7 linked regions of the Macaca mulatta genome follow. The protein of the gene in region 1 purifies or fractionates together with the protein of each later gene. This does not show direct contact. Links are inferred from orthologs where the notes say so. Each region holds a gene or a part of one and is shown on either strand. Other genes may lie near its edges.

The links.
Region 2: the proteins of SHC1 (region 1) and GAB2 purify together in Homo sapiens (affinity purification with western blotting; 6 studies listed by BioGRID and IntAct, with this or other methods). This does not show direct contact. The link is inferred for Macaca mulatta from reciprocal best matches to the Homo sapiens genes SHC1 and GAB2.
Region 3: the proteins of SHC1 (region 1) and AP2A1 purify together in Homo sapiens (affinity purification with mass spectrometry; 4 studies listed by BioGRID and IntAct, counting the BioPlex papers as one, with this or other methods). This does not show direct contact. The link is inferred for Macaca mulatta from reciprocal best matches to the Homo sapiens genes SHC1 and AP2A1.
Region 4: the proteins of SHC1 (region 1) and ABL1 purify together in Homo sapiens (affinity purification with western blotting; 5 studies listed by BioGRID, with this or other methods). This does not show direct contact. The link is inferred for Macaca mulatta from reciprocal best matches to the Homo sapiens genes SHC1 and ABL1.
Region 5: the proteins of SHC1 (region 1) and AP2A2 purify together in Homo sapiens (affinity purification with mass spectrometry; 4 studies listed by BioGRID and IntAct, with this or other methods). This does not show direct contact. The link is inferred for Macaca mulatta from reciprocal best matches to the Homo sapiens genes SHC1 and AP2A2.
Region 6: the proteins of SHC1 (region 1) and RET purify together in Homo sapiens (affinity purification with western blotting; 4 studies listed by BioGRID and IntAct, with this or other methods). This does not show direct contact. The link is inferred for Macaca mulatta from reciprocal best matches to the Homo sapiens genes SHC1 and RET.
Region 7: the proteins of SHC1 (region 1) and SOS1 purify together in Homo sapiens (affinity purification with western blotting; 14 studies listed by BioGRID and IntAct, with this or other methods). This does not show direct contact. The link is inferred for Macaca mulatta from reciprocal best matches to the Homo sapiens genes SHC1 and SOS1.

What each region holds. Positions count from the first base shown.
Region 1 is NC_133406.1:112,035,774-112,039,409, forward strand, and holds part of SHC1 (SHC-transforming protein 1), read left to right. Parts: intron 1-156; coding exon 157-283; intron 284-1,489; coding exon 1,490-1,688; intron 1,689-1,775; coding exon 1,776-1,845; intron 1,846-1,927; coding exon 1,928-2,062; intron 2,063-2,224; coding exon 2,225-2,463; coding exon of another isoform or gene 2,464-2,568; exon of another isoform or gene 2,569-2,601; intron 2,602-3,479; exon of another isoform or gene 3,480-3,636. UniProt on the Homo sapiens protein: Signaling adapter that couples activated growth factor receptors to signaling pathways. Participates in a signaling cascade initiated by activated KIT and KITLG/SCF.
Region 2 is NC_133419.1:78,650,434-78,654,351, reverse strand, and holds part of GAB2 (GRB2-associated-binding protein 2), read left to right. Parts: intron 1-456; coding exon 457-551; intron 552-1,982; coding exon 1,983-2,247; intron 2,248-3,442; coding exon 3,443-3,533; intron 3,534-3,860; coding exon 3,861-3,918. UniProt on the Homo sapiens protein: Adapter protein which acts downstream of several membrane receptors including cytokine, antigen, hormone, cell matrix and growth factor receptors to regulate multiple signaling pathways.
Region 3 is NC_133424.1:62,267,855-62,271,772, reverse strand, and holds part of AP2A1 (AP-2 complex subunit alpha-1), read right to left. Parts: coding exon 3,899-3,918; intron 3,624-3,898; coding exon 3,441-3,623; intron 2,609-3,440; coding exon 2,511-2,608; intron 2,179-2,510; coding exon 1,947-2,178; intron 1,854-1,946; coding exon 1,686-1,853; intron 1,594-1,685; coding exon 1,433-1,593; intron 1,049-1,432; coding exon of another isoform or gene 983-1,048; intron 632-982; coding exon 575-631; intron 468-574; coding exon 385-467; intron 277-384; coding exon 187-276; coding exon of another isoform or gene 98-186; intron 1-97.
Region 4 is NC_133420.1:16,869,865-16,874,294, forward strand, and holds the start of ABL1 (tyrosine-protein kinase ABL1), read right to left. Parts: upstream 2,986-4,430; 5' UTR 2,204-2,985; coding exon of another isoform or gene 2,105-2,203; 5' UTR 1,498-2,104; coding exon 1,362-1,497; exon of another isoform or gene 1-1,361. Other genes in the region: uncharacterized protein LOC144335005, read right to left, coding at 2,105-2,203. UniProt on the Homo sapiens protein: Non-receptor tyrosine-protein kinase that plays a role in many key processes linked to cell growth and survival such as cytoskeleton remodeling in response to extracellular stimuli, cell motility and adhesion, receptor endocytosis, autophagy, DNA damage response and apoptosis.
Region 5 is NC_133419.1:820,794-825,389, forward strand, and holds the start of AP2A2 (AP-2 complex subunit alpha-2), read left to right. Parts: upstream 1-1,590; 5' UTR 1,591-1,778; coding exon 1,779-1,845; intron 1,846-4,596. UniProt on the Homo sapiens protein: Component of the adaptor protein complex 2 (AP-2). Adaptor protein complexes function in protein transport via transport vesicles in different membrane traffic pathways.
Region 6 is NC_133414.1:55,573,721-55,577,638, forward strand, and holds part of RET (proto-oncogene tyrosine-protein kinase receptor Ret), read left to right. Parts: intron 1-156; coding exon 157-415; intron 416-1,058; coding exon 1,059-1,184; intron 1,185-1,811; coding exon 1,812-1,922; intron 1,923-2,513; coding exon 2,514-2,633; intron 2,634-3,444; coding exon 3,445-3,701; intron 3,702-3,918. UniProt on the Homo sapiens protein: Receptor tyrosine-protein kinase involved in numerous cellular mechanisms including cell proliferation, neuronal navigation, cell migration, and cell differentiation in response to glia cell line-derived growth family factors (GDNF, NRTN, ARTN, PSPN and GDF15).
Region 7 is NC_133418.1:85,814,612-85,819,004, forward strand, and holds the start of SOS1 (son of sevenless homolog 1), read left to right. Parts: upstream 1-1,501; 5' UTR 1,502-2,118; coding exon 2,119-2,205; intron 2,206-2,340; exon of another isoform or gene 2,341-2,459; intron 2,460-4,393.

The sequences.
Region 1 (3,636 bases):
GGTGGGTCTGGCTGTTTGAGGTGAGTAGGACCTGGGGTCATTTGTACCCACTCTAAGTAGATCTAAGTGGGGGTTCCTGCCGAGGAAGATGAGGGCCCCTGTCTGTGCCTCCTCCCAGTGGGCTCAACTCACTGACAGCCTCTGCTGTGCCCTCAGCCTGCCACATTCTGGAGTGTCCCGAAGGGCTTGCCCAGGATGTCATCAGCACCATTGGCCAGGCCTTTGAGTTGCGCTTCAAACAATACCTCAGGAACCCACCCAAACTGGTCACCCCTCATGACAGGTGAGCAAGTGGGGAGAGTGTGGAGCAGCTTTTGAGACCAAGATTGGGAAAGGAGGGCTGTTCTTCCCACACTTGAGCTGAGAGGTTCAGGGAGGGAATAACCTGTGTGCCTCTGCTTCCCACTTCCTGCTATTCTTCTGTTTCCTGTGGCCCAGGAGGAAAGGCTTTTGAGGCCCTGCTTGCCGCAGGGCCAGCTTTTCTTGTTTGCTCATGGTGGAGCTGTAGTCCAGGGCCTCCAAGTTACATCTCTCTCTGGCTAGGTGGGATTTTCTATTCCCATTCCTCTTTCTTGCTCATTTCTCTGCTTGGCATTCTGTGTTTTCCTGCCTCTAGAAGCCATCAAGACTTTGGGTTTGGGAGGATATCTCTTTTCCCTGAGATTACAATCTTTCCCACCTCAGGCCTTGAGGGATAAGCAGTGGAGCCAGTAGGGATTGGAGGTAAAATCTGGAGCTGGAGCGCCTCCCTGCTGACGCTGACACACACAGACAGACAGACAGACACACACACACACACACACACACACACACACCCCACCCCCCCCCCCCATAGTGCTTCTGGAGCTGGAGCGCCTCCCACAGAGATCAAGAGCAAAAGCATTACTTACTTATTTTGAGACAGAGCCTTGCTCTGTAGCCCAGGCTGGAGTTCAGTGGTGCAATCACAGCTCAATGTAGCCTTCATACCCTGGGCTTGAGTGATCCTCCCACCTTAGCCTCCTGAGTAGATGGGACCACAGGTGCATGCCACCACACGTGGCTGAGTAGTAGTATTTTTATTTTGGTAGAGATAAGGTCTTGCTATGTTGCCCTGGCTGGTCTTGAACTCCTAGGCTCAAACAGCCCTCCCTCCTTGGCCTCTAAAAGTGTTGGGATTATAGGCGTGAGCCATTGCACCTGGCCAAGGGGGACGAGCTTTAAAGTCAAACCTGAATTTAAATCTGAGCTTAGCCGCCTTTTAGTTGTGAGACCTTGGGCAAATCTTTTCACCTCTGACCCTCATTTTCCTCATATGTAAAATTGGGGAAGGAAACAATACCTACCTTATGGGGTTGCCAGGAGAATGAAATGATTATGTATATAAAACACTCAGCCTCAGGCCTAATCCACAGTAAATACCCAATAGATGGCTGCTGTTCTATTCCCTCCTCCCCTCCTCCTGCCCACCACACATTTACAGCTACACCTTCACTGTCCTGTCCCTCAGGATGGCTGGCTTTGATGGCTCAGCGTGGGATGAGGAGGAGGAAGAGCCACCTGACCATCAGTACTATAATGACTTCCCGGGGAAGGAACCCCCCCTGGGGGGGGTGGTAGACATGAGGCTTCGGGAAGGAGCTGCTCCAGGGGCTGCTCGATCCACTGCACCCAGTGCCCAGACCCCTAGCCACTTGGGAGCTACACTGGTAAGTTGCTTGGATGGAGGTGGGCTGGGCCTAGGGTGGGAGTGGTTGTTTAGGGCTTCTGGTCTCACCTTATTTTTATCCCTGCAGCCTGTAGGACAGCCTGTTGGGGGAGATCCAGAAGTCCGAAAACAGATGCCACCTCCACCACCCTGTCCAGGTATGAAGGGAGCTGAGATGGACAGAGCCAGGGAGTGCTGGAGGCAGGGCTGGGGATCACTGTAGAACCTCTCTTTCCTCAGCAGGCAGAGAGCTCTTTGACGATCCCTCCTATGTCAACGTCCAGAACCTAGACAAGGTCCGGCAAGCAGTGGGTGGTGCTGGGCTCCCCAATCCTGCTGTCAATGGCAGTGCACCCCGTGACCTGTTTGATATGAGTGAGTGCTTGTCTTTCCTCTCTGCATCTCCACCTTTCTACTTGGTTCTGGCCCTTCTCCTGCCTATCTGCTCTTTCCTTCCTGACTTCCCTTCCCTGAAGTCTGGGTCTTGGGTGTGTGTTGTGCCTGCTACTTTCCCTCACCCTCTGTCTACACTTCCAGAGCCCTTTGAAGATGCTCTTCGGGTGCCTCCACCTCCCCAGTCAGTGTCCATGGCTGAGCAGCTCCGAGGGGAGCCCTGGTTCCATGGGAAGCTGAGTCGGCGGGAGGCTGAGGCACTGCTGCAGCTCAACGGGGACTTCCTGGTGCGGGAGAGCACGACCACACCTGGCCAGTATGTGCTCACTGGCTTGCAGAGTGGGCAGCCCAAGCATCTGCTACTGGTGGACCCTGAGGGTGTGGTGAGTGTGGCAGAGGTGTGGGTGAGGGGTGGCAGAAAGGAAGGTACAGTACCCTACAGTGTATCCCTGTTCCTTCCCTCATTGCTTTCTAGACATTCCCGCTAGGCAGCTCTCTGTGGGCCTCTCTTGCTCTTTAGGGTGTCTGGCATCTTCCTCCAGGGGCTCATCCCTTAGCCTGAACTGTGTTCTTTATAGTCCTGGCACTATAGGGCTGGGCGTGGTGGCCCACACCTGTAATCCCAGCACTTTGGGAAGCTGAGGCAGGTGAATCACCTGAGGTCAGGAGTTTGAGACCAGCCTGACCAATATGGTGAAACCCCATCTCTGCTAAAAATATAAAAATAAGCTGGGTGTGGTGGTGGGCACCTGTAGTCCCAACTACTCAGGAGGTTGAGGCAGGAGAATTGCTTGAACCCAGGAGGCAGAGGTTGCAATGAGCTGAGATCGCACCACTGCACTCCAGCCTGGGTGACAGAGTGAGATTGTCTAAAAAAACAAAACAAAACAAATACAGTCCTGGCCCGTCCTCAAATCCCCAAGCCTTATCAGAGCTAGAAGGCAGTCATCTCATCTGTGCCCATTTTTTTTTTTTTTTTTTGAGACGGAGTCTCGCTCTGTCGCCCAGGCTGGAGTGCAGTGGCCGGATCTCAGCTCACTGCAAGCTCCGCCTCCCGGGTTCACGCCATTCTCCTGCCTCAGCCTCCCGAGTAGCTGGGACTACAGGCGCCCACAACCACGCCCGGCTAATTTTTTTTTTTTTTTTTTTTTTTTTTTTTTTTTTTTGAGACGGAGTCTCGCTCTGTCGCCCGGGCTGGAGTGCAGTGGCGCGATCTCGGCTCACTGCAAGCTCCGCCTCCCGGGTTGACGCCATTCTCCTGCCTCAGCCTCCCGAGTAGCTGGGACTACAGGCGCCCGCCGCCTCGCCCGGCTAATTTTTTGCATTTTTAGTAGAGACAGGGTTTCACCGTGGTCTCGATCTCCTGACCTTGTGATCCGCCCGCCTCAGCCTCCCAAAGTGCTGGGATTACAGGCGTGAGCCACCGCGCCCGGCCATCTGTGCCCATTTTTACAAATAAGGAAACCACCCCGAAGAGGTTGTGAGGCCCAATGTCACATGGTTAAAGGCTAGACACTGCAAGTTTCCTTTCGTAAGAAGATCCAAGGGCTTCTCCA
Region 2 (3,918 bases), on another chromosome or scaffold:
TCAACAACTTGAGCAGTCGTACTGTGCTTTGGAACTGAGATGATAAAGACATACATAAAACATGTTCCTGCCCTTCAGAGCTTACATCTCATTGGGAAAATAAAACCAACACATATAAATCAGGACAAGTATTGTTACTGTGGTATTCAGAGAAGTGATGGCTGGGGTGAGTGGGACAGGTGAGTGCTATAGGAGTCAAAGGAGAGGTGCATAGATGAGGGTAGAGTAGTCAAGGATGGCTTCTCTGCAGATGCTAACATTGGAGCTACATCTAGAAGCCCAGGAGGATTTTTGAACTGAGGAGTGATGTGTTCGAAGAAATTCCTTATCATTTGGGGTTGAGAGTGGTATCTTCTGGAGTATCAGTAAGACCTTGAACCACACTGGTGAGGGTATGGGGAAGTGTCAACACATGAATCAACCATGAGTACATACGGATCCTCCTTCCTCTGTCAGCTTCTTCCTGTGAGACCTACGAGTACCCACAGCGTGGTGGAGAGAGTGCAGGCCGGTCTGCTGAATCCATGAGTGATGGAGTCGGCTCTTTACTGGTGAGTGTGGGTTAACCAGGGGTCCTCAGGCAGGCCTGGTTAGGTAAAAGGCCACACCTTATGGAACTAAAAGCACAACCCCAAAAAAGTGATGGCATCTCCATCTTAAGACCCTGCCCAAGTTCTTGTCTCAGTTCAGAACCCTGCGTTGAGTCTTTGGACAAGTAAGATACAAGTATTCTAGTCCGGAAGAAATGTATGTGCTAAGGTAGACTGGATTACAAGGTTCACCAACCTTATAGGTAAGCAGAGGGTCTAGAATGCAATAGACCCAGGCTGCACGGTGGGGGATCTTCTAAGGCAACAACCTTACCCACATGGCCTCACATATAGGAGGGAGGCTGCAGTGTGAGACTCCAGGCAAGGGTAGTACTCACAGTCATGCTAAGTGGCAGAATTATGGCTTGAGAGCAGGATCCCAGGCTGCCCTCTGGAAGATGCTAACACAGTTCTCCAACGTGTCAGGCAAGAAAACCAAGGCCTGGCTTCAGGCCCACTGGAAAGACAGTGAAATCAGGTAACCAAGGCAGAAGCAGCTTAGTTGTATGTCAGGGCACGTAGAACAAGAGTTAGAAGAAGGCTATAGCTTAGGGTGCTGTATTGCACAACTCTGTAGAAGCTCCAACTGCAGCTTGGTGGTCCCCTAGGTGCCTGGAGTGAGCCCCAGGTACTTAGGAACCTGGACTGGGGAAACACAACTGGCCCCAGACCTCACCTTTCAGAGCCAGGACTCCTAATATGCTCCTTGTTCTGATCCAGGGCCCGAGATGCTGACCTGCCAATGGTGAGTCTGGACTTGAGGTGGAGGGCAGGTCCTGAACCAAACCTACAGTCTATGGACTATGCTACCCACGGTGTTGGTCAGGCATCCAGAAAGCCAAGTGGACCCAGTCACCAAGAATATTTTATACTCTAGATTTATCAAAAATTATTGGTGGATGCCAAAGGATCATGAAGGCTTGAAGGGGCCCACAGACCTCATATATTCTTGTCTCCCACTCTGCTTCCTTTTATTTTTTATTTTTTGAAACAGAATCTCGCTCTGTCACCCAGGCTGGAGTGCAGTGGTGTGATCTTGGCTCACTACAACCTCAGCCTCCCAGCTTCAAGCGATTCTCGTGTCTCAGCCTCCTGAGTGGCTGGGATTACAAGCATATGTCACCACGCCCAGCTAATGCTTTGTATTTTTAGTAGAGAGGAAGTTTCGCCTTGTTGGCCAAGCTGGTTTCGAACTCCTCACCTCAAGTGATCCAACTGCCTTAACCTCCCACTACTCTGCTTTCTTATTTGGTCTCCCCAGGGTCTCCCTTACAGCTTCAAAGTGTAGCTAACCCAGTCATGACTTGTCTTGCCTAGTTTACAAAGTCTTACCTACTTCCTGTTTCTTCTTGCTAGTAACAGCTGTATTTCTTTCACTGTTCCTCTCCCTAGCCAGGGAAAATGACTGTGGGCCGATCAGACAGCACCAATTCTGAAGACAACTATGTGCCCATGAACCCAGGTTCTTCCACCCTGTTGGCCATGGAACGAGCAGGTGATAATTCCCAGAGCGTCTACATCCCAATGAGCCCAGGGGCCCATCACTTTGACTCACTTGGCTACCCATCAACAACCCTTCCTATGCACCGAGGCCCCAGCAGAGGAAGTGAGATCCAGCCACCCCCTGTCAACCGCAACCTCAAACCTGATCGGAAAGGTAAGTCCATTCTTTCCCCTGTCCCATCTCTGGACAATAGCTAGGGACTCTTTCCATTTGCTTAGGGGTCATGTGGATCCTTGGGATGTGTGACTTTGGGCAAATCATGTAAATTCTGAGTCTCAGTTTTCTTATCTGTGAAATGAAGATGGTAATTCCTACCTTCCAGGTTTGCTGTGAAGGAGAGCATCTAGGATAGTACTTTGGTACACAGCAGGCATTCAGTAAAGTCAGGTTTGTGCTCCCTGCATGTAGACCAGGCAAGTTACCAGTCTGCTGTGATCTCAAACTCTCCTGATCTTGGATTAGTGGCAAGGATTCAAAGGGAGGAGTAGGATAGCTGGGCAGAGATAGCCCCCTGTGGGTCTGACCAACAGGGAATTCAAATCTTAGCATGTGAAACTGAAGCCCTCAGGCCCTTGTGGCATCTACCTTCCTCCACTGTGGCTTGCACAGACCTGGCCAGGAGCAGCAGAGAGTAGTCACAGTGACCATCTCCACTTCAAATATGGTCTCTTGGCTGGGTGCCATGGCTCATGCCTGTAACCCCAACACTTTGGGAGGCTGAGGCGAGTGGATCACCTGAGGTCAGGAGTTTGAGACCAGCCTGGCCAAAACAGTGAAACTCCGTCTCTACTAAAAATGCAAAAATTAGCCAAGCGTGGTGGCAGGCTCCTGTAGTCCCAGCTACTAGGGAGGCTGAGGCAGGAGGATCAGTTGAACCCAGGAGGCAGAGGTTGCAGTGAGCTGAGATTGCACCACTGCACTGCAGCCTGAGCAACACAGCGAGACCCTGTCTCAAAGAAAATATATGTAAATATATATGTATATATAAATATATATTAATATCTGTATTATATATAAATATATCTTTATATATAGTCTCTTATTTTTAAATGAAGTCATAAATCGAGGGAGAAGAATCTGTTGTCAAACCCTGTGTCCTCATTTTTGATTCTGAAAATATAATTACCGTAGATACAGCAGAAAGAATATTTAATTTGGAGTCTGAAGACATGACTTCAAGGCCCATCAATATGGGCAAAGATTATATAACCTCGCTGAGCATCAGTTTCCCTGTGTGAAACTGGAATGACTTTGCAGGCCTTTATAAACATGCTCATGTGTTATATATAAGTTGTGTATGTGTAGCATTATTACTGGCTGATTACCAGACTTTCTTTTCCTGCTCCAGCAAAGCCAACACCACTTGACCTGAGAAACAACACTGTCATCGATGAACTCCCCTTCAAGTCACCTATCACCAAGTCTTGGTCTAGGGCCAGGTGAGTGCCTATGTGTGGGGGTGGGAGCTTGGAGTCAGCCCATTAGAGAAGATGAGTGAAATGGTAGCTGGCCTGTGGGCCAGGACAGCTGGATTCTGATGCTAACGCTATCATTAGCTGATCATGTCTCTTGATCTCTTGTGGCTTGGTTTCCTCAGCTATAAAAGAGAATAATTATACTTGCCCTATATCAGATCTTAATCTGATGGAGTGTGCAGCTCTAATGGCTGAGGTCTGGGTGTGTGAGGGTCAGGGCTCAGCTGTAGGCTAGAAACAGGGCAGCAGCCACGCTGCTTCCCCAGTGTTGATTCTTCCTTCCCACAACAGCCACACCTTCAACTCCAGCTCCTCCCAGTACTGCCGCCCCATCTCCACCCAGAGCATC
Region 3 (3,918 bases), on another chromosome or scaffold:
CCTGGGGGAAGGAACCCCACCCCCATCTTACAGATGCAGACACTGAATCTCAGAGAAGTAACTGCGTGCCCAAGAGGGGCTAAAGAGAAGTGTGGACCTGGGTCAGCCAGCTTCCCCACGATGAGGAAGGCCAACCTGGAGAGGCAGGCCTGGAGGCAGGAGGCTGGGCCGGGCCTGAGAGGATATGAGTCTGGAGGTCTCCGGGGTGGACCACAGTGGGTGAGAAATTCTGGAACTGTACCGAGGTCTTGTTGCCATAGAAGAGATACATGCGGCCTGCAGTAGGTGGGGGAGGCAGAGCTCCATCTGAGTCCCTCTGACCCCTTCCCCAGGCCCAACCCAAGGTCTCCCTCCCACCCATTCCCACAGTCCCCTGGGACACACCTAGATTCTGCCGGAACTCTGACTTGACTCCGATCTGCAGCAGCTGGTTCTCGAACAGAACCCCGTTGTTCTTACACACAAACCTGGGTGGGAGTGGCAGGGGGCGCAGGATGACGGGGATGCCTGCCTGCACCTGACCTAGGCTCTGCACCTGTCCCCATTCCCCTCCCCCACCTCTCCCAGGACTCACTTATTCAGCAATTCATCGGCTTCCGGAATGGGAGGGCCAATGTCTTCAGGACCTGGGCTGGAGGCAGTGAGTGAGTGGAGTGAGATGGGAAGGGACTTGGTGGGGAGGGGCGAAGACCCAGAGCAATTGAGTGTGAGAACAAACCCTAAGGACAGAACCCCAGAACCACATATCCAGACCCCTCACAGAGCTTCGAGGAACTTCACATCCGTTCAGCAGTGGCCTCTAACGGGAATGGAACCCTGGCCCGTGCCCCCGCATCGGCAGGCACCAAGTTTCCCTTTCCTCAAAGTCCCTGCCTCTGCTGCTCATCAGGAACCCGTTGACAAGAGCTCTCAGTCCCCTAACTCTCCCTGGGGACACCGGAGTCTGCCCCCCCGCGACCTCCCACCCCAGGCCACCCCTTACTCAGCAGCTGGAGCTGGGTCAGCCAGCAAAGCCATGGGGCTCTCGGGGGCAGGCGGCTCCAGCTCGCTGGGCCATCCAATCCCAGAGCAGACAAGAGAAGACAGGCGTGGCAGCCAATCCCAGACAGGCAGCAAGAGGGCCGGAGAGAGAGAGACAGAGAGGGAGAAGGGAAGGAGAGAAGGAGAAAAGGAAGAGCAGGCTGAGAAACGGTGACAGGAAAGGAGACAACGAAGGGTGGCCAGTGTCGGTGGAGTCCAGAGTGGGAGAGGGAGGCTGTGAGCAGGGAGGCTGGGGCAGGGGAGGCAGCAGCCAGGGCTGGTGAAGGCATCGGGATGGAGAGAGGAGCGAGTAGGGGGCTGGGGAGGGGCTCAGGGAAAATGCGGGCAGAGGCCGAGAAGGGACAGCCCTGGGGGTGGCTGTGAGAAGGGGCCCGGGCCCAGGGGGTGCTACCTGAGGAAGGCCTCCTCGGGGGTGGGCCCCAGGCTGGGCTGGGCGGCCGGGCCATCGAAGACGTCCACCAGGAGGTTCCCTGCCCCTGCAGAAGCCGGGGGTGCTGCCGGGGGAGGGGCTGCCCGCAGCCCCAGGAGGTCGGCGGAGGGCGAGGGCGTCGACTGTAGGAAGCGCAGGTCATGGTGAGGACAGATGGCACCCTGGCAGGACCCAGCCCCAGGCACCCTGGCAGGGCCCACCCCAGGGGACTCACCACAGTGCTGGGGGTGGGCTCTACGCCCCCATTGATGTCGTTGCTGCTTGGGTCCCTCCGGCCATCATCCAGGGCACTGCCAGCCCCTGGCCCCTTCTTGCGTTTCAGCTTGGCCAGGATGGACGACTCGCGCTCGGGGAAGGGCGGCATCTCCTCCAGCACCGTAGCCTGGCGCAGTCGGGTGGGGAAGGTCAGTTCGGGTCAGGAGGAGGGGAGAGCGGGAAGGGGGTATGCCAGGGTGGGGAGGGGCAAGGCTCTGACCAGGACGTCGGTGCTGGCCACCGAGCTGAGGGTGAGGTACTCCACGGCTCGCTGCTGCAGCTCCACGTCAGCATTGCGCAGCTGGGAGCCGGCCCGCAGCACGGCCTGGATGGTGGCCTTGGTCTCGGGGAAGAGGTTGATGAACTTGATGTAGGTGGACAGCAGCAGCGCCCGCGTCGCCACGCTGCACAGGTGGAACTTGGAGTGGAGCAGGGAGAACTGCACCGGGGGGCTGTGCGCGGGAGTGGGTGTCAGCGGGGACCAGGCTCCACTGCCCTCTCCCAGAAACCCCCTCGAGAGGCACCCCTCCCTGGGATGGACCTGTCCCAGGACCCCAGGCCGCTGGAGGGGAGTGGCCCTCCCCAGGCACCAGGCAGGGGCCACAGTCACACTCTGTCCATGATCCTGGGACTGAGGTCCTCTCTTACCCTGCTAGGTGGGTTGGGGTGGAGGCCGAGAGGATGGGAGCCCATCACCGCCTACCCTGAGACCCCTGGGGATCCCTCAAGCCCTGGATCCGTCAGAAGTGTGTAGTGTTCCCCCCGCAGGCTGAGGCTCCCTCACCTGGAGCGGGGGTCCCCAGCAATCAGGTTCCCAAACTCCCCAAGGATGTAGCCGCCAACCTTCACCATGTTCTCATGACAGGCAGGGGCCTGGAGCGCCTGGGGGGGGCGGGGAAGGGCGTGGAGAGGACAAGAATGAGCACTCTCTCTGGGAGCACTGGGTGCAACCACCTCCTGACTGGTGGAACCCTCAAAGCTCTGCTGCGGGTGGGGTTATAAGTGGTAAACTGAGGCACAAAAAGGTTGAGTGACCGGCCCAAGCTCACACAGGCCGTAAAACAGGGCTGTGAGCCAGGCGTGGTGGCTCATGCCTGTAGCCCTAGCATTTTGGGAGGCCGAGGAGGGCAGATTGCCCAAGCTCAGGAGTTTGAAACCAGCCTGGGCAACATGGTGAAACCCCATCTCTATTAAAAATACAAACAAATTAGCTGGGTGTGGTGGCATGCGCCTGTAGTACCAGCTACTGGGGAGGCTGAGGCAGGAGAATGGTTTGACGCTGGGAGGCGGAGGTCGCAGCGAGCCAAGATCACGCCAAGGCACTCACTCCCCAATCCAGCCTGGGTGACAGAGTGAGACTCCGTCTCCAAAAAACAAACACACCAAAAAAAAACCAAAAAACAAAAAAAACAGGGCTGTGCAGGTCCCCTTTCCTGGGGCAGAGGGAAATGGAAACTACCGAGATCTGGGGCCAGGACTGCACACCGGGCTCCCCATGCCCATGCCCTGGGGACTCCTCACATCAGGAGGGTAGGAGGGACCCAGAGCCCTGGGTGCCCTGGGTTGGCCCAGAGAGGCAGAAGCCCCACTTTGAGGTCACAGCAGTGCAGGAGGAGGATGGCCAGGGGCTGGCAGGCCCCACAGCCCCGGCCGTCCTTGCTCTGCCTCTAGGTCCTGTCGTGGGGTCATGGGGGTCAGGGTCAGGAATGCTGACCTCAAAGACCGTCTTGGCGGCGTAGCCCTGGACGTCATCACGGTTGGTGACGATCTGTAGCACACGGTACCACACCTCTTCACTCACGTAGTCGCCCGCGATGCGGATGAGGTTGAGGATGGTGTCCACATACCAGCTGTAGTCCACGGCGTACTTCTCAGCCAGGATGGCCACCTTCAGGACCTGCCGCCGGAGCGTGTGAGAGACAGAGTGCCCGCAGGCTGAGTCGGGCTTTCACTCACCTGGCTCTGGGCTCACCACTGCCCCCATCTGGAGACCCAGGAGTCCAGGTCCCAGCCCCTCCTCCCTCAGACCCAGGAATCCAGGCCACCAGCCACCTATCCCTCAGATCCAGGTATCCAGGCTCCAGCCCCTCTTCCCTCGGACCCAAGAGTCCAAGCCCCCAGTCACCCCCTCCCTCAGACCCACAAGTCCAGCCCGCACCCCGCAGCACTCACGATCTCCTCGCGGATGGCAT
Region 4 (4,430 bases), on another chromosome or scaffold:
CACGTAGGGAACTACACTGCTTTCTATACCAGCTTCCCGGAATGAGATTACTGGGTCACTGGCACATACATTTCAAATTCTGATAAGTTCCGCCAAAGCTCTCCAAAAAGTCTGTACCAATTTTCACTATGTAAGGTGCATGATCATCACAAGTCAAAATGTAAATAATTCACTTTTTAAATCCTAAATTTGGGAGCCATCATAACACATGACCATATTGGCTTGCCTAAAAACAAAGCTAAAATAGAATTAATGTTTCAAGGCAAAGTAAAATCCAAGCACCCAGATTTATTTAGATGAAGTGAGTATTTTCTTGTAAGAAAGTAAAACTTCAACCGTCAAATGCAAGTTCATCCAACAGAAGCCTTTGTTGATTGCAGTCACCCAATGTTAAGAAGTATTTCTGAATGAATTTCAAACTATAAGCCACTGGCACACTTGATACGTTTGCTTATAGGATAGGTGGGCTCAATTGATTTTTTAATATAAAGGACACAATCTGAAAAATGGCAGGCTGCAACAGTACAAACAGTAACCCTAATTAATTGGTTATAGACATTAGTGTAAGCCGACCCTTAGCTTTAACTTCACACAGAATTACTGGACATGAACAACATAAAATGTGCTGTCAGCACTCAAATGCCAAATATGTTCATAAAAATGTCAAAGACAACTTTTATTGGCCCAAATGTCACTCTAAACAGGGAGAAGAGAGGATGAAAGCTTCATCAACGAGGAAGGGATTATTACTCCTATGGAAGGTAAGACAGAAGCTGTGTATCTAAAATTAATAAGGAATGCTGCCTCCCCACTTGATTTTTCCCACATGGCTCCAAAGTGAGTATTTTCAAGTCCCACTTATGATGGAAAAGGTCAAGGATATTAGCATCAACCAGTATCTATGATTCTTAACTTTACCAGAAAAACAAACCACTTTGAGAATATGATAAAAGCTCTCTGTAGACAAAGCAGTAAAGAATCCATGCATGTCAGAAGAGCCCTTGACTTCGGTGAGAGCAGAATCATAGAACCATGCATCCTAAGAAACAACTGAAGTCCAGCCCCTCAGGAAACTGAAGCCCTGGAACAGTAAAATGGCTTGTCCAAGGTCAACAGTGAATTCGCAGAGGAAGCAGGCAAGAAATAAGCAACTCAAATAGATTCTGAATAAAGCCGAACTCACGAAGTAACTTTTTCTTATACAAAGTAAGTTTCACCAGAAACTTGAGAGATAACTAAAGTAACAAATGTATTAAGTGGAATTGGAAGGAACTGTCGCAAGTACTATTATTCAAAGTTCCTTGAAGGCCTAAGATGAACGCATGAGGAAAATAATGAGCAGAAATTTTAAAAGCACTCACCATGTTCCACAAAAACATTGCAGTGTGGACCCCCATGCCTCGATGATTCCTTCTTCCCTGCTCCTTTGATAAAATGCAGGGCAGGCAAGCTTGGCCTTCTTTGGTCCCCAAGAACTTTTCCAGGCTGCTGCCCCATAAAGTAATAATGGGTACCCCTTTCCAGAAGAGGGTTCACGATCTTCCAGAACGGTCAGAGAGCGTAGAGGCAAATGGCATATACGCAGGATTTCACATTCGCTGCATCTCCACAAGTCAGCAATTGAAGTCAATCAGAGAAAGACCTCTTCCATAACAAAAGGAAGCACTTTTTTTAGGTTGACACTTGCAAGCAGGAGTTCCAATTATTTTCGCAGTTTATCAATTTTAAGTAATGTAATTGCAGTGTTACCCAAAAGTTTCTTGACTTTTTTTTTTTTTTAACGGGCTGAATAACAATTTCTTTTCAAAAAGAAAAACCTAAGCAGAAATATTCACAGGGGATGCTGAAAAGGGTCAATAATGCTAGTCATTTCAATTCCCACATATAAAGGAAACGCTGATCGTCTTTGGCTACTCCTCCAGAACTTTTCCTGTGGAAGTCACCAACCTCCTATCTTAGCTTCTTCATCTTCCAACAAATTTCCTGCCGAACTAGTGGCCGCTCTCGCTTCTCTGCTCTGCTCTCCGGAAAAGGACACGGGTCACCCAGATTTCAGCGAGTTTGCCCTCGACTCTGACGAAAAGGAATGCATTGCCAGCAACTTTTAAGTCCGCTTTTTAAAAGGCCTGTGGAACCAATCCAGACTTTTCCTTTGCATTAAAGTTTTTGGCTGACCTGAGACTAAGGGGGCCGTAGGTGACATTGGAAGAAGTCAGGGCATTAGAGGCTCGCGGGAGCCACCTTGGGGAAGGGGAGACCCCTTGACAGCAGGGAGGGATTTGAATGAGAGGCTCTGTGGCCAAAGTTGGGGCCGGGATCCGGAACAAGGGGCGGCTCGGGGCTGAGGGAGGCTGCCGGGGCGCGGCACGGGCGGCTTACTCCAGGGCGACGCTCTTCCACGCCTCGGAAAACGGGGTGTCCCAAGCTGAGGGTAACAGACCCCCAGTGTCCCAAAGCCGGGGTGGAGCTGTAAGGGACGAAGGACTCTCGCGGCCCAGACAGCGAAAGGCGGACGCCGTGTAGAGGAGGCCCGGCCGCCTCAGCTGCCCCAAGCCCGGGGGTCTCTGCCTGAGACACCCTCTCCCCCGGCCCCGGACGCTGACACCACCACCGCCCTCAGGCAATCACATCCCCAGAGCTCCGCCGAGGAACCCAGCCGCCCCCCGCCGGTAGGGGCCGTGGACAGCGGAAGGGCTCCTCAGTCGCAGCACCCGGGAACCGGCTCCGGCTCCAGCGCTGCTCAGGCACAGACACCGACCCCCGCGGCCGCCATGATGGATTACGAGCCGCTCCACAACGAGGCCAGGCCCCGCCTTCCGCCCCGCCCACGACGACGTCCGGAGCCCGCCTCAAGGGGACCCGGATGCCCTCAGGGCCGCTTTCCCGGGACACCGCCGCGCGTCCCGGCTCTGGTCCCACTGCCTGCGAAAGCCGGGCCCGGCACGACCTTTTAAATGTGGCTTCTTTGAGCGCAAGGTGAGTGATAAGGAAGCACCCGCCTCCTCTGTATTGTCATTGGCCTCCGAGAATCCGGGTCGGGCCTCTTTCCCCCGTCCCATTGGCCAATGGGGGCAGTAGGGCTGGATCTCCCAGCCAACCGTGTTCGGCGCAGTACGCGGTGCGTCCCGGGAGTTGTGGTCCCACGGCACCCGCGCGAGTCCTCCCGCACCGAGACTCCTGGCCCGGACCCCGACCGCTGGGCCTCGCCCCGCCCTCCTGGGACCTGGTGGACTCTCGCCGGCCGAGCGTCGGCTGGACCGCGTCTCCCCGGCGCGAGTAGTAAGACCGGGACAAAGCGAGGGAAAAACTGCGGATTGGATTTTCCTGGAACCGGAATCGGATGATTTCCTTCAGTCTCTAAGGGAGAAAATGTGGCTTGCTCCTAGAAGCCAAGGTTTTTGGTGCCTCTCAACCCCTTCACCCTCCAAAAAGCATAAATATTAGAACTAGCGGACGGGGCGCGGTGGCCCACGCCTGTAATCCCAGCACTTTGGGAGGTCGAGGCGAGCGGATCACCTGAGGTCGGGAGTTCGAGACCAGCCTGACCAACATGGAGAAACCCCTTCTCTACTGAAAATACAAAATGAGCCGGGCGTGGTGGTGCATGCCTGTAATACCAGCCTCAGGACGTTGAGGCAGGAGAATCGCTTGAACCCAGGAGGCAGAGGTTGCGGTGAGCTGAGATCACACCATTGCACTCTAGCCTGGGCAACAAGAGCAAAACTCCGTCTCAAAAAACAACAACAACAACAACAAAAAAAAACAACTAGCGAAGAAACATACAGAAATAGGGAAAACATCCGACATGTTGCTAACGAATTCAACTATTTATTTGGGCATTAGGAGGCTTACTCATTACAGAAAAGCCATTTGTTGGGTTTGCCAGGCGCTATCAGATGTTTGCCCTGGAACGAATCTTTAAGACTATAAACATTTCACAGGTGAACACGTATTCACATGAAAACATCCTCTATATTAGCTGAGAAAATGCCCAGATGGTTGGGTTTAGCAAGTCTACAGAACCAATGACCTAGATGTGCCAAACCCACACCTGATAGAATCCATGTTCTGCGACTAAAAAGCACCTTGGTTCCTATTGGCTCTCCATGTCTCCCCAGAGGGATGCATCTGACAGGAATCCCATTTCTTTCTTTTTTTTTTTTTTTTTTTTTTTTCAGATGGAGTTTTGCTCTTGTCACCCAGGCTGGGGTGCAGTAGCAGGATTTCAGCTCACTGCAACTTTCACCTCCCGGGTTCAAGCGATTATCCTGCCTCAGCCTCCCAAGTAGATGGGATTACAGGCACGCACCATCACACGTGCCTAATTTTTGTATTTTTAGTAGAGACGGGGTTTTCCCATGTTGTCCAGGCTGGTCTCGAGCTCCTGACCTCAAGCAATCCACCCGCCTCGGCCTCTCAAAGTGGTGGGA
Region 5 (4,596 bases), on another chromosome or scaffold:
ATTGCCCTGCTCTGTGAGTGGCTGCTGGTGGGGGGGGCACAGTGGTCTGCTTGTCTCGGTCTTCGGCACTGCCACTGCCAATGGGAACTCGGATTAGGCACGCCAGCCTCCTGGCGCCCAGAGCACACACTCTGCCCATGCGTGTTAGTGGACGGTCCTCGTGACTCTTGGGACTGTCCCGGAGAGCAGCCCAGGACCCCTCACATGGCACAAGACGCTCTTGTGTCCAGAATGGCCTTTATTTGTCGTCAGGGATAGGGGAGGGAAGCTTGTTAGTGGAAGGGAACAGCTGAAGGATGAATGGCCCCGGGACCACTTTCTCTGCCAGGAGGTAGCACTGGGAGGGGATGGGGACCCTGGAGGGGCGTACCCTCCTCCAGGAAGGCCTCTGCCAGGTCGGCTCCGTGACTCTGTCTTGGAAAGTGATGAACTTGTGCCCCTACCTCCTAGCCGGGCTCCACCAGGGCTAAGCTCTCATCTGGGGTTGTGCAAGTGAGCCAGGGTGGGGCAAAGTCCTGGCTGGTGGGTCTGGGCCAGTTCCAGGTACAGGGTCCAGATCCCCCCACTCCCGGAGGAGGGAACTTCCTCTTCAAAGCCATCTGGCTCTGGGAAGGACAGCGAGGCAGGGCCATGTGCTTCCGCACTCCCTGGGGTCTCTTCCTGGCCTAGGCCCAGAGCTGTGCAGCCTGGCCCAGAAGGTCCTCCCTCCCGCTGCGTCCACGGGGGGTCCCTAGGCCTCCAGCTCGCAGCGGTGCAGAGGGCCGGGGAGCAGAGGGGGCCCTGGCAACAGTGGCAAAAAGTCCTGGCGCTGAGGGACTGGATTCCACAGTGAGCTGCAGCCCCGGCCGCCATCACTGGGGTGGGGTGGGCGGTTGTTTCTCTGCAGGCCCAGGTGATGTGGTGGGGGCGCCTGGACTGCCACACAGACCCTGGGTTAGGTTGGGCACGGGGCCCGCCTGGCCCCCAGCTCGGGGACCGCAAGAGATGTGGCCCTGGCCGCTCAGGGCGGCAGAAGGGGCGGCTCAGTCCCAGTCTCAGGATACTGGGCTGGGGGAGGGTTTCCTCCCCAAAGGCTGTCCCGAGGCTGTGACCCCTTCGCCCAGAGCCCCGGCTTCCTCCTGGCGCCGCCCTCCCGGCCCTGGCCCACCCCGGACAAACAAGGCCCTGGCAGCGAAGCCCCTCCACTGCCCAGCGCTCACAGGTTGTTTATTCCAAGTAGGAAAACGGAGACCTGCTCGGGGCAATCTAGGGGGGCCGACGCCCAGGGCGAGGCTGCAGCGTGCGCCTGCGTGGTCGCCTCTTTTGCAGTGACCACCAACAATGAAGACGGCGGCTGTCCTGCTCACGCAAGTTCCCGCCCGGATCCACGCCCTTCCCGTGGGGGACGCGGGCGGCAGCGCCAACCCGGCGCGGCATCGGGACGCGAACCCGCGGCTCCAGCGGCTCCGTCCGTGGCGTCCGCCTGCATGGGGCGCCCCCGCGCCTGCCTCGACCGGCTCGTCCCCGCGCCGCGGACGCGCGCGCGCTGTCTCACGCGACACCCGCCCCGGCCGCCGTCCGTCGCAGCTCGCGTGCGTGCGCGTGTGTGCTAGTGCGGGCGTCGTGCGTGCGCGCGCGCGGCGGCCCAGAAAGCGGCGCTGGGAGCCTGAGGCGGCGGTGGTTAGTCGGCTCCCCGGCGGCTTGTCCGCGGCGCTGAAGGCGACCGTGCTCCCCGCTTCCCGCTCCCAGCGCTTCTCCGCCCAGGCCCGCCAGCGGAGGCCGCTCCCGAGCGCCGGAAGATGCCAGCCGTGTCCAAGGGGGACGGGATGCGGGGCCTGGCCGTCTTCATCTCCGATATCCGCAACTGTGAGTGGCGGGGGCGGCGCGGGGCGCGGGGCGCGGGGCCGGGGCTGTGGCCGGGGCCGCAGGCGGCTACGGGGTCTGGGAGCGGAGGTCCGGGGTGGGGGCTCGAGGCGGGGGTGCAGGCTGCGATGCGGGCGGGGCCCGGGGCCTGAGGGTGCGGGCGGCGCTCGGGGTCTTGGGGTACCGGGTCTGGGAGTGCGCGCCAGGGTGCGGAGTGGGGGTCCAGAGTTTGGGGGTGCGGACTGCGCTCAGGGTCTTGGGGTATCGGGTCTGGAGGTGCGGGCCAGGATGCAGAGCGGGGCCCTGGGTCTGGGGTGCGGGGTAGGGGGTCCAGGGTTTAGGGGTGCAGGGTCTGGGGGTTTAGGGTACGGTCCTTCATTCACATCTTCACTCCCGTTTGCTGGTCCGCGCGGGGGGCTGCGGCACCGCCAAGGGGGTTCCGGGCCAAGACGCCCCTCCCCAGTATGATGTCACCTCGGTCTTTCTAGTACTGGAGTGTTTAACCCAGCATTTTCCAAAACGGCGTGGATTTTAGCTCTGGGAGCAGAAATCTGGAAATCGGTGTCTTCCTAGGAAACAGCTTTGTGAGCTGGGTTCTGGCGGCTTATTATCCCCTGATTAGATCTCGCCCACGACGATTGAAATGACTCATTCCCGGAGGGAATCTGGACACGAGCAGGCAGTCAGCAGTCGGGGTGTGGGATGGCCTGGCTGCCTGCTGCTCCAATCACAGACCTCGTTCTCAACCCCATGCGTGTCCCCTCGGGGTGGAAAAAATCCACACCAAACCGTGAAACAAGCCAGGAAGGCTTGGCCTGTTAGGAGGATGTGCAGGGTGGCGGGGTGGGTGCACCGGTCCACAAATTAATTTGACTTTGGTGTGCAGAAACTTCTCTTGAAACAAAGCCGATTTCCTGTCTGGTGTGTTCATTTTTTTCCTTGTTATCCAGCAAATAGTTGACTTCATGGTTTTTTGTTTTTGTTTTTTTTGAGACAGGGTCTTGCTCTGGCGCCCAGGCTGGAGCGCAGTAGTGCCATCACGGCCCACCCAGCCTCCCAGCTCAAGTGATCCTACCACCTCAGCCTCCAGAGTCGCTGGGACTACAAGCGTGCACCACCACCATTTTCGTGTTTTTTGTAGAGATGAGGGTCTCATTGTGTTGCCCAGGCTGGTCTCGAACTCCTGAGCTCAAGTGATCCACCTACCTCGGGCCTCCCAAAGTGCTGGGTTTACTGGCGTGAGCCACTGCACCCTCATAATTTTTAGTGTATATTTTGAGGAATTTTTGTGATCTTCCCTTTGAATTCTCATCTCCTTAGACTGGGTGGAGGATCAGGAGGATGGTCATTCTCCCACACTCTGTGTAAGGATAGAAGTCCATCTAACCCTTCCCCTACTCTTTTTTTTTTTTTTTTTTTTTTTGAGACAGAGTCTGGCTCTGCCGCCCAGGCTGGAGTGCAATGGCCGGATCTCAGCTCACTGCAAGCTCCGCCTCCCGGGTTCACGCCATTCTCCTGCCTCAGCCTCCCGAGTAGCTGGAACTACAGGCGCCCGCCACCTCGCCCGGCTAATGTTTTGTATTTTTAGTAGAGACGGGGTTTCACCGTGTTAGCCAGGATGGTCTCGATCTCCTGACCTCGTGATCCACCTGTCTCGGCCTCCCAAAGTGCTGGGATTACAGGCTTGAGCCACCGCGCCCGGCCAGCATAGAGCTGGGTGCAGTGGCTCACACCTGTAGTCCCAGCACTTTGGGAGACCAAGGCAGGTGGATCTTTTGAGCCCAGAAGTTTGAGACCAGCCTGGGCAATGTGGTGAGACCCTGTCTCTACAAAAACCATGAAAATTAGCCGGGCGTGTTGGTGTACACACCTATAGTCCCAGCTACTTGGGAGGCTGAGACAAGATCACTTGAGCTCAGGAGGTCAAGGCTGCAGTGAGCTGAGATCGTGCCACCGTACTCCAGCCTGGGTGACAGAGTGAGACCTTTGTCAAAAAAAAAAAAAAAAAAAAAGGCTTAGAAACACAGCCTCAGATCAGTACTTTTACGAGTAGCATTTTTTCTCTTGCTTTGTCACGTAATGAGACTAACATGCATTTTGTAAAACTAAGTGTGTGTATTATTTGTTAAGGGGACTCCTCGGGACAAAGGCTGAGCACTGTTAAGTTAGCTGCGATGTCTGTCCTTTCATTTTTGAGGAAAATTGTGTTAGGCAGGACGATGAGATTGGAAGGCATTTCCTTAGACAACAAGTCACCCGCTTGTTAGATATATTGTCTGTGCGAGGGCCTGCGTTTGACAGGATGGCGCCTACCACAGGGAGCGCAGTACAGCCGTCCTCCCTTATTTGTGGTTTCACCTTCTGAGGTTTTAGTTACCTCTGGTCACCTGTGATCTGAAAATAGGTGAGCACAGTACAATAAGATATTTAAAGACACCACATTCATGTAACTTTTATTACAGGATATGATTACAGTTCTCTTTTATTATTGGCTGCTGCTAATCTCTTATTGTGCCTAATCTGTAAGTTAAACTTTTTCCTAGGTATGTGTGGGAAAAAAGCAGCTTGTATAGGATTTAGTGTTATATGAAGTTTCAGGCACCCACTGAGGGCCTTGGAACGTATTCCTGTGGATATGGGGAAACTGCTGTACTCTATAAATACTTGACTGTGTAGACCAGACTTTCTTCAACTCGGCAGAGCTGACATTTGGGGCTGGATCACCCTTTGTTGTGGGGGACTGTTGAGTACCTT
Region 6 (3,918 bases), on another chromosome or scaffold:
TCTGAGGGGATGGAGGACAGGGCGCTCAGCGGGGCTGCTGTCTCCAGGTTCAGTTGGGGGCTGTTCCAGAACTCAGGCTGTGTGGGAACCTCTACCCTCAGGCCACTGCAGGCCGGTCCAGCGGCCTGGTTAAGGTGTTCCCCTGTGCCCCCCTAGATCGGGAAAGTCTGTGTGGAAAACTGCCAGGCGTTCAGTGGCATCAATGTCCAGTATGAGCTGCATTCCTCCGGCGCCAACTGCAGCACACTAGGGGTGGTCACCTCGGCCGAGGACACCTCGGGGATCCTGTTTGTGAACGACACCAAGGCCCTGCGACGGCCCAAGTGTGCTGAGCTTCACTACATGGTGGTGGCCACCAACCATCAGACCTCCAGGCAGGCCCAGGCCCAGCTGCTTGTCACGGTGGAGGGGTTGTGTGAGTGCCTGCTCCAGGAAGGAATGGGTTGGGGACCTGGGGGCTTCCGGAGCCTGGGCCTGCTGCCCTTTGAAAAAAACAGTACAGCTGCAAGGCTTAGCTGGGGAGTGGGGAAGGCATGGACCAGCTTTACCGTGAGTGACCCAGCAATAAATGGTTGTCCCTTCCAGATAACATACAGGACCTTGGTTAAATTTGAATTTTAGGTAAACAACAGGCAGTGTTTTGGTATAGGTGTGTTCTGTGCAACCTTTGCAGCTTCTCGAAAGACACACCTCCAGGCCCATCCATGCCCTCTTAGGAACATGCTGAGCAGCTGCCATTCATGCCATTCATTGTGTATCTGAAATGCAGGTCCCACAGGGCATCCTCAGCATCGTTGGCCGAATCTGGCTGCCCTCACATCCTTCCTCCTGTACTTACCCCAGCCCAGGTGACCCCCGCTTTGTGACCATGATGTCCTGTACCCTGCCCTGTGCTCTGTGCTCCTGGCACTGGCTTTGCTGCCCTGGGTCTGCCACTCCAGTCCCCTTGGGCTCCATCTGTGAGGCAGCTCAGCTGGTACTGTTCCCTGTCCTTGGGCACTGGCTGGGCGCTGGACCCAGGCCAGCCCCCTGTGACCCTGCTTGTCTGCCACCTGCAGATGTGGCCGAGGAGGCGGGCTGCCCCCTGTCCTGTGCAGTCAGCAAGAGACGGCCAGAGTGTGAGGAGTGTGGCGGCCTGGGCTCCCCAACGGGCAGATGTGAGTGGAGGCAAGGAGATGGCAAAGGTAGGTCCTGGAAACGCCCAAGGGATGCCTGCAGGGGCAACGGCACCGGTAGAAACGGGGTCCTGGGGCCCTGCCAGCCTGGAGTGGCTCTCCCTGCTCCAGGTCTGCTTCTGGCACCTCATCCCCCACGTGGCTCACGATGCCAGCATAGTGGGCAGCAGTGCAGGGCTGGGGAGAGGGCTTGTGAATACAGCAAATGGTCCCCAGGCTGGAGTCACTCTGGACTTGGGAAGGTCTGAACCAAAGTTGGGATGTGCTGGGGACAGAATGGCCTTTTCTGGGAAGTCCTCGTCCAGGGGATGTGGTGTGGGCAGGGGACTCATTGTCTGCATCAGCCAGAGGCCAGCCTGGGTGTGCCCACCAGCATGAGGGGCCCTCACTGTGCAGCCCTGAGAGGGTCCTGGCCTCTTTGCTGTAAGGGCCACCTGTGTGAGGAACCCCCCATACCTCCTCTCCCATAAGCTGTGGCTCCCCAGGATGCTTCCGCTGGCAAGGCTCTGTGTGTGGTGTTTCCCTGCTCAGGGCTCCATTTGCTCCTCCCTAGAGGGGCAGGATCGGCCTAGGAGGTGGTGGGGGCATGTGGCGGGGCTCCCACGTGGGTGACAGCCTGCTGTGTGTCCTGTGCAGGGATCACCAGGAACTTCTCCACCTGCTCTCCCAGCACCAAGACTTGCCCCGATGGCCACTGCGATGTCGTGGAGACCCAAGACATCAACATTTGCCCCCAGGACTGCCTCCGTAAGCAGGGTTTAATGAGGGCATGGGAACAGGTAGGAGATAGTAGGGGAAACCTGGATCCCACATGCACTTCAGCCAGAGTTGCCAGGGCTGTCAGTTTTATGCATCAAGCTGAGCCTCTTGTGCATTTCAGCGTCACCCTGGCCATGGGGAGGGAGCAGGGAGGGTCAGGGATGGGGGGAGGCAGGGACACACAGACTGTCCACGTCCCTGCTGAGGCCCCAGAAATTGGCACACACAGATTTCAGAAGCAGAGAATGGTCAATAGGGACACTGACAGGGAAAGTGTGGCCTGAGCTAGACAAGGGACCCTGCAATGTGCTGGTCAGGCCACCAGGCTCCAGTTTTGAAGGCAGAGTCCTTTGTTCAGATGAAATGTTAGGAGGGGGCCTGGCTTCACCCATGGCTTCAGAAAGGCACTGTGACCGAACCCTGCCCGGCTGAGCCAAGCTGCTGGGCGCCTGGCCTCCCTGGGCCTATGCCTGCAACACCAGTTGGGGAGGGGGGCTCCTTGGGACAGTGCCCTCGAAATATGGGGGCCTGGGGTGGTCAGACACCCCAGGGGGCTGAGTGGGCTATGTCTGCCCTCAGGGGGCAGCATTGTCGGCGGGCATGAGCCCGGGGAGCCCCGGGGGATTAAAGCTGGCTATGGTACCTGCAACTGCTTCCCTGAGGAGGAGAAGTGCTTCTGCGAGCCCGAAGACATCCAGGGTGAGTGGGTGGCAGCCACGACCACCACCACCTCCTGGGCCCATGGAGGTCTCAACAGCACATCTGAGGTCCCAACAAGGGAGGAAATTGCTGGGAGGCGAGTGGGCCCCATGAGACTTCCCTCCCTCCCTCTGGGCCTCTGTTACTCCATTGGTGCAACCCAGGAGAGGGGCCAGAGCCCCTATAAAGTGTCCTCTGGCCCTGAGTTCTATGATGAACAGGCCAGAAAAGCAGTTCTTCCACCAAACAACTTGTCAGGGTGACAGGTCACTATCCCTGTGACCATGCATCTGGGACCCACCCAGGAACACATTTCAAGGTCAACAGGTATGGTGGGTGGCACAGCCACACTGACTACACTCAGGGATGCGGTTCTGCCTGAGCACAGGGACACATTTCTGGTATTGAGTTTTCCGGTATTATATAGCCCTACATCATGAGCCACTTAACATTTTCATAAAGAAAATGCCAAAGACATTTGGAACAGAGGAAAATTTTAACCTCCCCTGCCAGCCCTCCAGTGCCAGCTGGTGTAGTGAGCATAGCCTCTGCTGTGTGACCTTGGCAGGCTGCTCAGCCTCTCTGAGCCTCTGTCACCATCTGTAAGAGGGCAATAGTAGTCTAGGAGGGGGCAGTAAATGGCAGTACCCATGCCCAATGGGGTGTTCTCAGGCCTTCCCACACCTTCATGGCCACTTCCCCGCTGGTGCGGACACGGTTGGCTGGAGAGCCATGCGGTGGAGCATGCGCAGCCTGTACCCAGTGGTGCCGAGCCTCTGGGCCTGGAGCCTCACACCGCCCCCACCCACAGATCCACTGTGCGACGAGCTGTGCCGCACGGTGATTGCAGCCGCCGTCCTCTTCTCCTTCATCGTTTCGGTGCTGCTGTCTGCCTTCTGCATCCACCGCTACCACAAGTTTGCCCACAAGCCACCCATCCCCTCAGCTGAGATGACCTTTCGGAGGCCCGCCCAGGCCTTCCCGGTCAGCTACTCCTCTTCCGGCGCCCGCCGGCCCTCGCTCGACTCCATGGAGAACCAGGTCTCCGTGGATGCCTTCAAGATCCCGGTGAGGGTCCCTATGGGGCAGGGAAGACCACCTGCCCTCCCCAGATGCCTTCCAGGGAGGGAGGCCAGCTGGGGAGAGGAGGCTATCCCATGAGGGACTGCCAACACTGGGCAGACGAGGCCCGTGCTCTGCCCCTATTTCCGTAGGGTGCTGTGTGGGGACAGTCTGTGGGGTGGAACTATGATGAGGTGCTGTTCCCATCCAGGTGAGAGGCAGT
Region 7 (4,393 bases), on another chromosome or scaffold:
TGGTCCGCCCACCTTGGCCTCCCAAAGTGCTGGGATTACAGGCACAAGCCACTGCGCCGGACCCGGGTGTGTGTGTGTGTATGTGTGTATATATATATATATATATATATATATTTTTTTTTTTTTAATTGAGACGGAGTTTTGCTCTTGTCGCCCAGGCTGGAGTGCAGTGGCACGATCTCGGCTCACTGCAACCTCTGCCTCGCGGGTTCAAGCGATTCTCCTGCCTCAGCCTCCCGAGTAGCTGGGATTACAGGCACCCACCACCATGCCTTGCTAATTTTTGTATTTTTAGTAGAGACAGGTTTTCACAATGTTGGCCAGGCTGGTCTCGAACTCCTGACCTCAGGTGATCCACTTGCCTCAGCCTCCTAAAGTGCTACAGGCATGAGCCACCTCGCCTGGCCGGCCTGTATATTTTTAAAGGAAATAACCTAAGAGTTTTTTCCAGATTTTCAAAGAGGTCCTGTAAAGATTAAGAACCACTGAACCTTTCTCGTTTGCCTGATCCTGGTTACTGTTCTCAGGAATAGGAGGACACAATGTCAGCTTTAACCCAGGCTAGTTCCTCTAAACTGCCTTATCGGTGAAATGAAAATAATAGGGTTGCTATGGGGATTAAATGAGATGATACTCAAAAAGTGATAATTAATGATAAATCATAAGGTGTCTGCCACAAAGTGCCCCTATTATAAACAAACAGTGGCCTGGAGGGACAGTTTATAAATACTGCTCCTTTAGCATTCCACTAATATTCACTGAGTGCCTGTTCTGTGTAGAGGCCCTGGTGAAAAAGATCGGCCTTCCAGTATATTATCTAGTCGAAAGAACCTCAAAAGATACAAAACACGATAGACTGAACGCCCTGAGAAGGGCGTAAGTGCAGTGCTCTAGGAGCTGTAGAAGAGGTCTCGATATCCACTGGAGGAAAGTGTTTATTGGAGTTCATATCTGGAGTGGGTTTAAAAGATGAACAGAGGGAATCTAAAACATACACACAAAATCAATACTACACGTACACATTTTATTCTTGGTTTTGTGGAAAGACCAGTTAGAAACACTGCAATCACTTCTACTACTCAGCAGATACTGAGCAGTAGGTTTCGTGACAGAGCACCTGTATCTTTTGTCCAGTCTGTTTACTATACATTGCGTGCTCTGGGCAGTCCTTATCTTCGTGTTCAGGAACAAAGTACACACACCCCTTTCCGAAACGAAGGGCCCAGGGATTCCGAGAGGGGTGGGAGCCCTCACGGCCAGACCACACAATGGGGAGCCTCTTTACCCTAGTTATCACCCACCCCTGCAGGCTCCACTTTGCCAGGGTTCGACTTCTCGGGTCCTTTCGCCCCTCCCCTGCAGCCCCCAGGAGCGCAGCAACAGCCTGGCCAGGCGCCCTCCCTCTCTCTCTCTCGAGCTTCCCTCCTCCTTCACCGGGAGCCGGAAAACCCGGAGCGAACCAGCCCAGCCCGGCGGCGCATGCTCAGTAGCGAACAGGTTCAGTTCGCTAGTAGGAAGCTCTAGCGCTACACCGGCGGCGGCGGCGGCGGCGGCTGCGGCGGCACCTCAGGGCAGCCAGATTCCCCAACAACGACCTCGGGTCCTTCCCCTTCCCCGTGAGACCCCCGCCCCAGCTCAGCCCCGCCCGGGGCTCCTGCGTTTCGGGGTACCAACTGAGCAGAGCGGGCGCCGCGGCCGGAGCGTACCTCCACACGTCCTCCCCCAGCCGCCAGCTCCGCCGCGGGGCCAGGCCGGGCCCGAGAGTGCAGCCCCGGCGGGCGGGCGGGCGGCGGCCGCGGCAGAGGGCAGCCCCGGGCGGCGCCGGCGGGCCGGGGAGGAGGCGCGGGGGGCCTGGCCCCGGGGCGGTGGTGCGGGATGCCGCCGCCTCCGGGCCGCGTTCGTTCTCCACAGTTGGTACCCGTGTCGGGTGTGTGGCCGGGCGCGGGCCTCGCCCCCCAGCCCCCTCACCAGGGCTAGCCCGGCTGCGCGGCGCCCGGAGGGGGCCGGGCCGTCCGGTGGGGCCGCGGCCCTGTTCCGTGCTGCGATCTCGCCCTCTCGCAGCTCCCCGGCCCGGCCGCCGCCGCCCCTCTCCCCGCCCAGAGGCGCCCCGGGGGCACCATGCAGGCGCAGCAGCTGCCATACGAGTTTTTCAGCGAAGAGAACGCGCCCAAGTGGCGGGGACTGCTGGTGCCTGCGCTGAAAAAGGTGAGGAGCACGCGGGACCCCGCTTCCCGGCCGCAGCACCCCAGCGCGGGCGCCGGGCTGGCGCTGGGGAAGGGCTGGGGAGGCGGGGCGCGCGCAGGGCTGTCTTTCTTCCCGGTCTCGCCGCGTCTCCAGAAGGACGGCGCACACTGAGAGGCTCGCCATACGGCTGGCTCTCAGTGTTGACATCCACCGGGTGTGTGGGAAGGCCGCAGGGAGCTGGCGGGAGTTTATCCGAATAATCCAACCCCTGAGAGGTGAATGCTTTGCCCTTTGATTCCAAGACAACAGTTGCAGGAGCCTCAGTTTTCTGCGGAGGTCAAAGCAGGCCACTTTTCCGCCTTCTCGGTCTTAGCGCGGAGCTGCTGTCAGCCTGCCGTTTTAGGTGTCCAGTACGCTCGTTTTAGTGGCTTTTCGAGAATGCCCTGGCCGTAGTGCTTGCTCAAAGGAATTGCGAGCTCGCCTGCCAGCAGTAACGTGGCCTGCTCTGTTCGCCATCAGCAATCACTCCTCATTCTCCTGGTTTCCCCCGCTCCTCCGATTAACAGGGGCCGGTGCACATGCTACCAATTTCGGGGTTTTTTTGTTTTGTTTTTGCAGCGTTAGAAACTTGGTGCTGTCATTTGGTTAAGAATTTTTAGCCTTTGTATGTTTAAGTTTGCTACGTTGTTACATACCCCCGATCTGTGCTTTTAAATGTTTTAGTATAATTAGGAAGTGTTGTTACATTTTTAAAGCTTCTAAAGCAGCAGTGTGACTACCAGACTATTTTTGTTTCCTTTTCTTCATTTACCTTTTCTGTAAAGATTGCTTTGCTCTTCTAATAGTGTTTCTAAATTCCAGTTTCTTGCTGCTTAAAGAATGTTTCATGCTAACTGCTTCTACTAAGAATGGAGATTAATGTTGTACCTTTTATGCTAAACATTAAAAGCTGTCTGATATTTCTCAAAGGCCAGTAACTTTTACTTTCCCTTTTGCCCTGTTCTCCTCCTGTCCCTCTTGCTGTCTTACAGTGGAAACTATTTGGTTTGTCAGGAGTATTTGCTCATATATTTCTGACTTAAGTTACGGACATTTTCCCCTTCAAGTGTCTGACTAGTCACAAACATCTATTTTTTTTTTTGTTTGTTTGTTTGTTTTTTTTTTTTTTTAAAGAAAACCAAAAAGATGCCATGTATCTTACATACTTTACTCCTTAGAAATCCCATCAGGCTCTCACTCCTTACTTTTGCTTTACTTGCAAGTTTGGCTTCTCAGCTTGCAATGGAATGGGTGTAGGACGTCTCTGTGATGCTAGAAGCTGGTGTCCGGATAGGGTAAGAGGAGACAGGGAAATTGTTTAAAAATCTGTAAAGGAACTCATAAAGTATTGCCAAATAGGGGCCATTTTGCTTAGAGGCAAAAACAGCTGCTTTCTTAGGGAATCACCAAGCTATCAGCTGAGAATTCTTTGAAGTAGTGGAAAGAATATTGTAGGAGTTGACAGACCTTGTTTTAATTCTGCCACACTGGTGGCCCTTGCTGGAATCTGTCCACAGAAGCATTTTGTTTGGCTGGCACAGTGTGGTTTTATTTTCAAATGTAATTAGTTGCTAATATTTGAAAATGGGAGATATTACATAAAATCTGAATTTTCTGCTTTTCTTGACGAATAGGAAGGTCTTGTCATTTAGGGTCTGTATTCAAGCGAGGCACTAAACTGCTGGAGGTGAGTAAATGGCTGCCTTCTTTAGACAGGTCGTGTATCTCCACCTTACCACAGCCCCCACTTGTCCTTTTTGCATATTTACATAAACCAGCTTTTGACTTTAAGCTAGAAATATTTTTGCAGTAGAAGTGATAAGAGGAGGTGGAAGTGTACATAATCTAGCTGATATGTAAGGTTCTTCCAATTCTTATTTAAATATCCACTAACAATGATTCTAAACAAGGTTGAAAATACAGTATATTTCATATCTGGATACGTTGTTGGTAGCTCAAAACCTACGTTTTTACCTGCCTGCTGGATATTTCATGTGGATATCTCCATATCTTGATTTCTTCCTTTGATTTATTATTGAATTATTTGTAGATGCATCCAACTCGTGTTCTCTTACTCTTACCTGAGGCTCTTTGGATATTCTAGTCCCTTCATCCTTCTTTGCCTGGTCCAACACTACTCATCCTTCTAGACTCACTCAACCTGAACTCT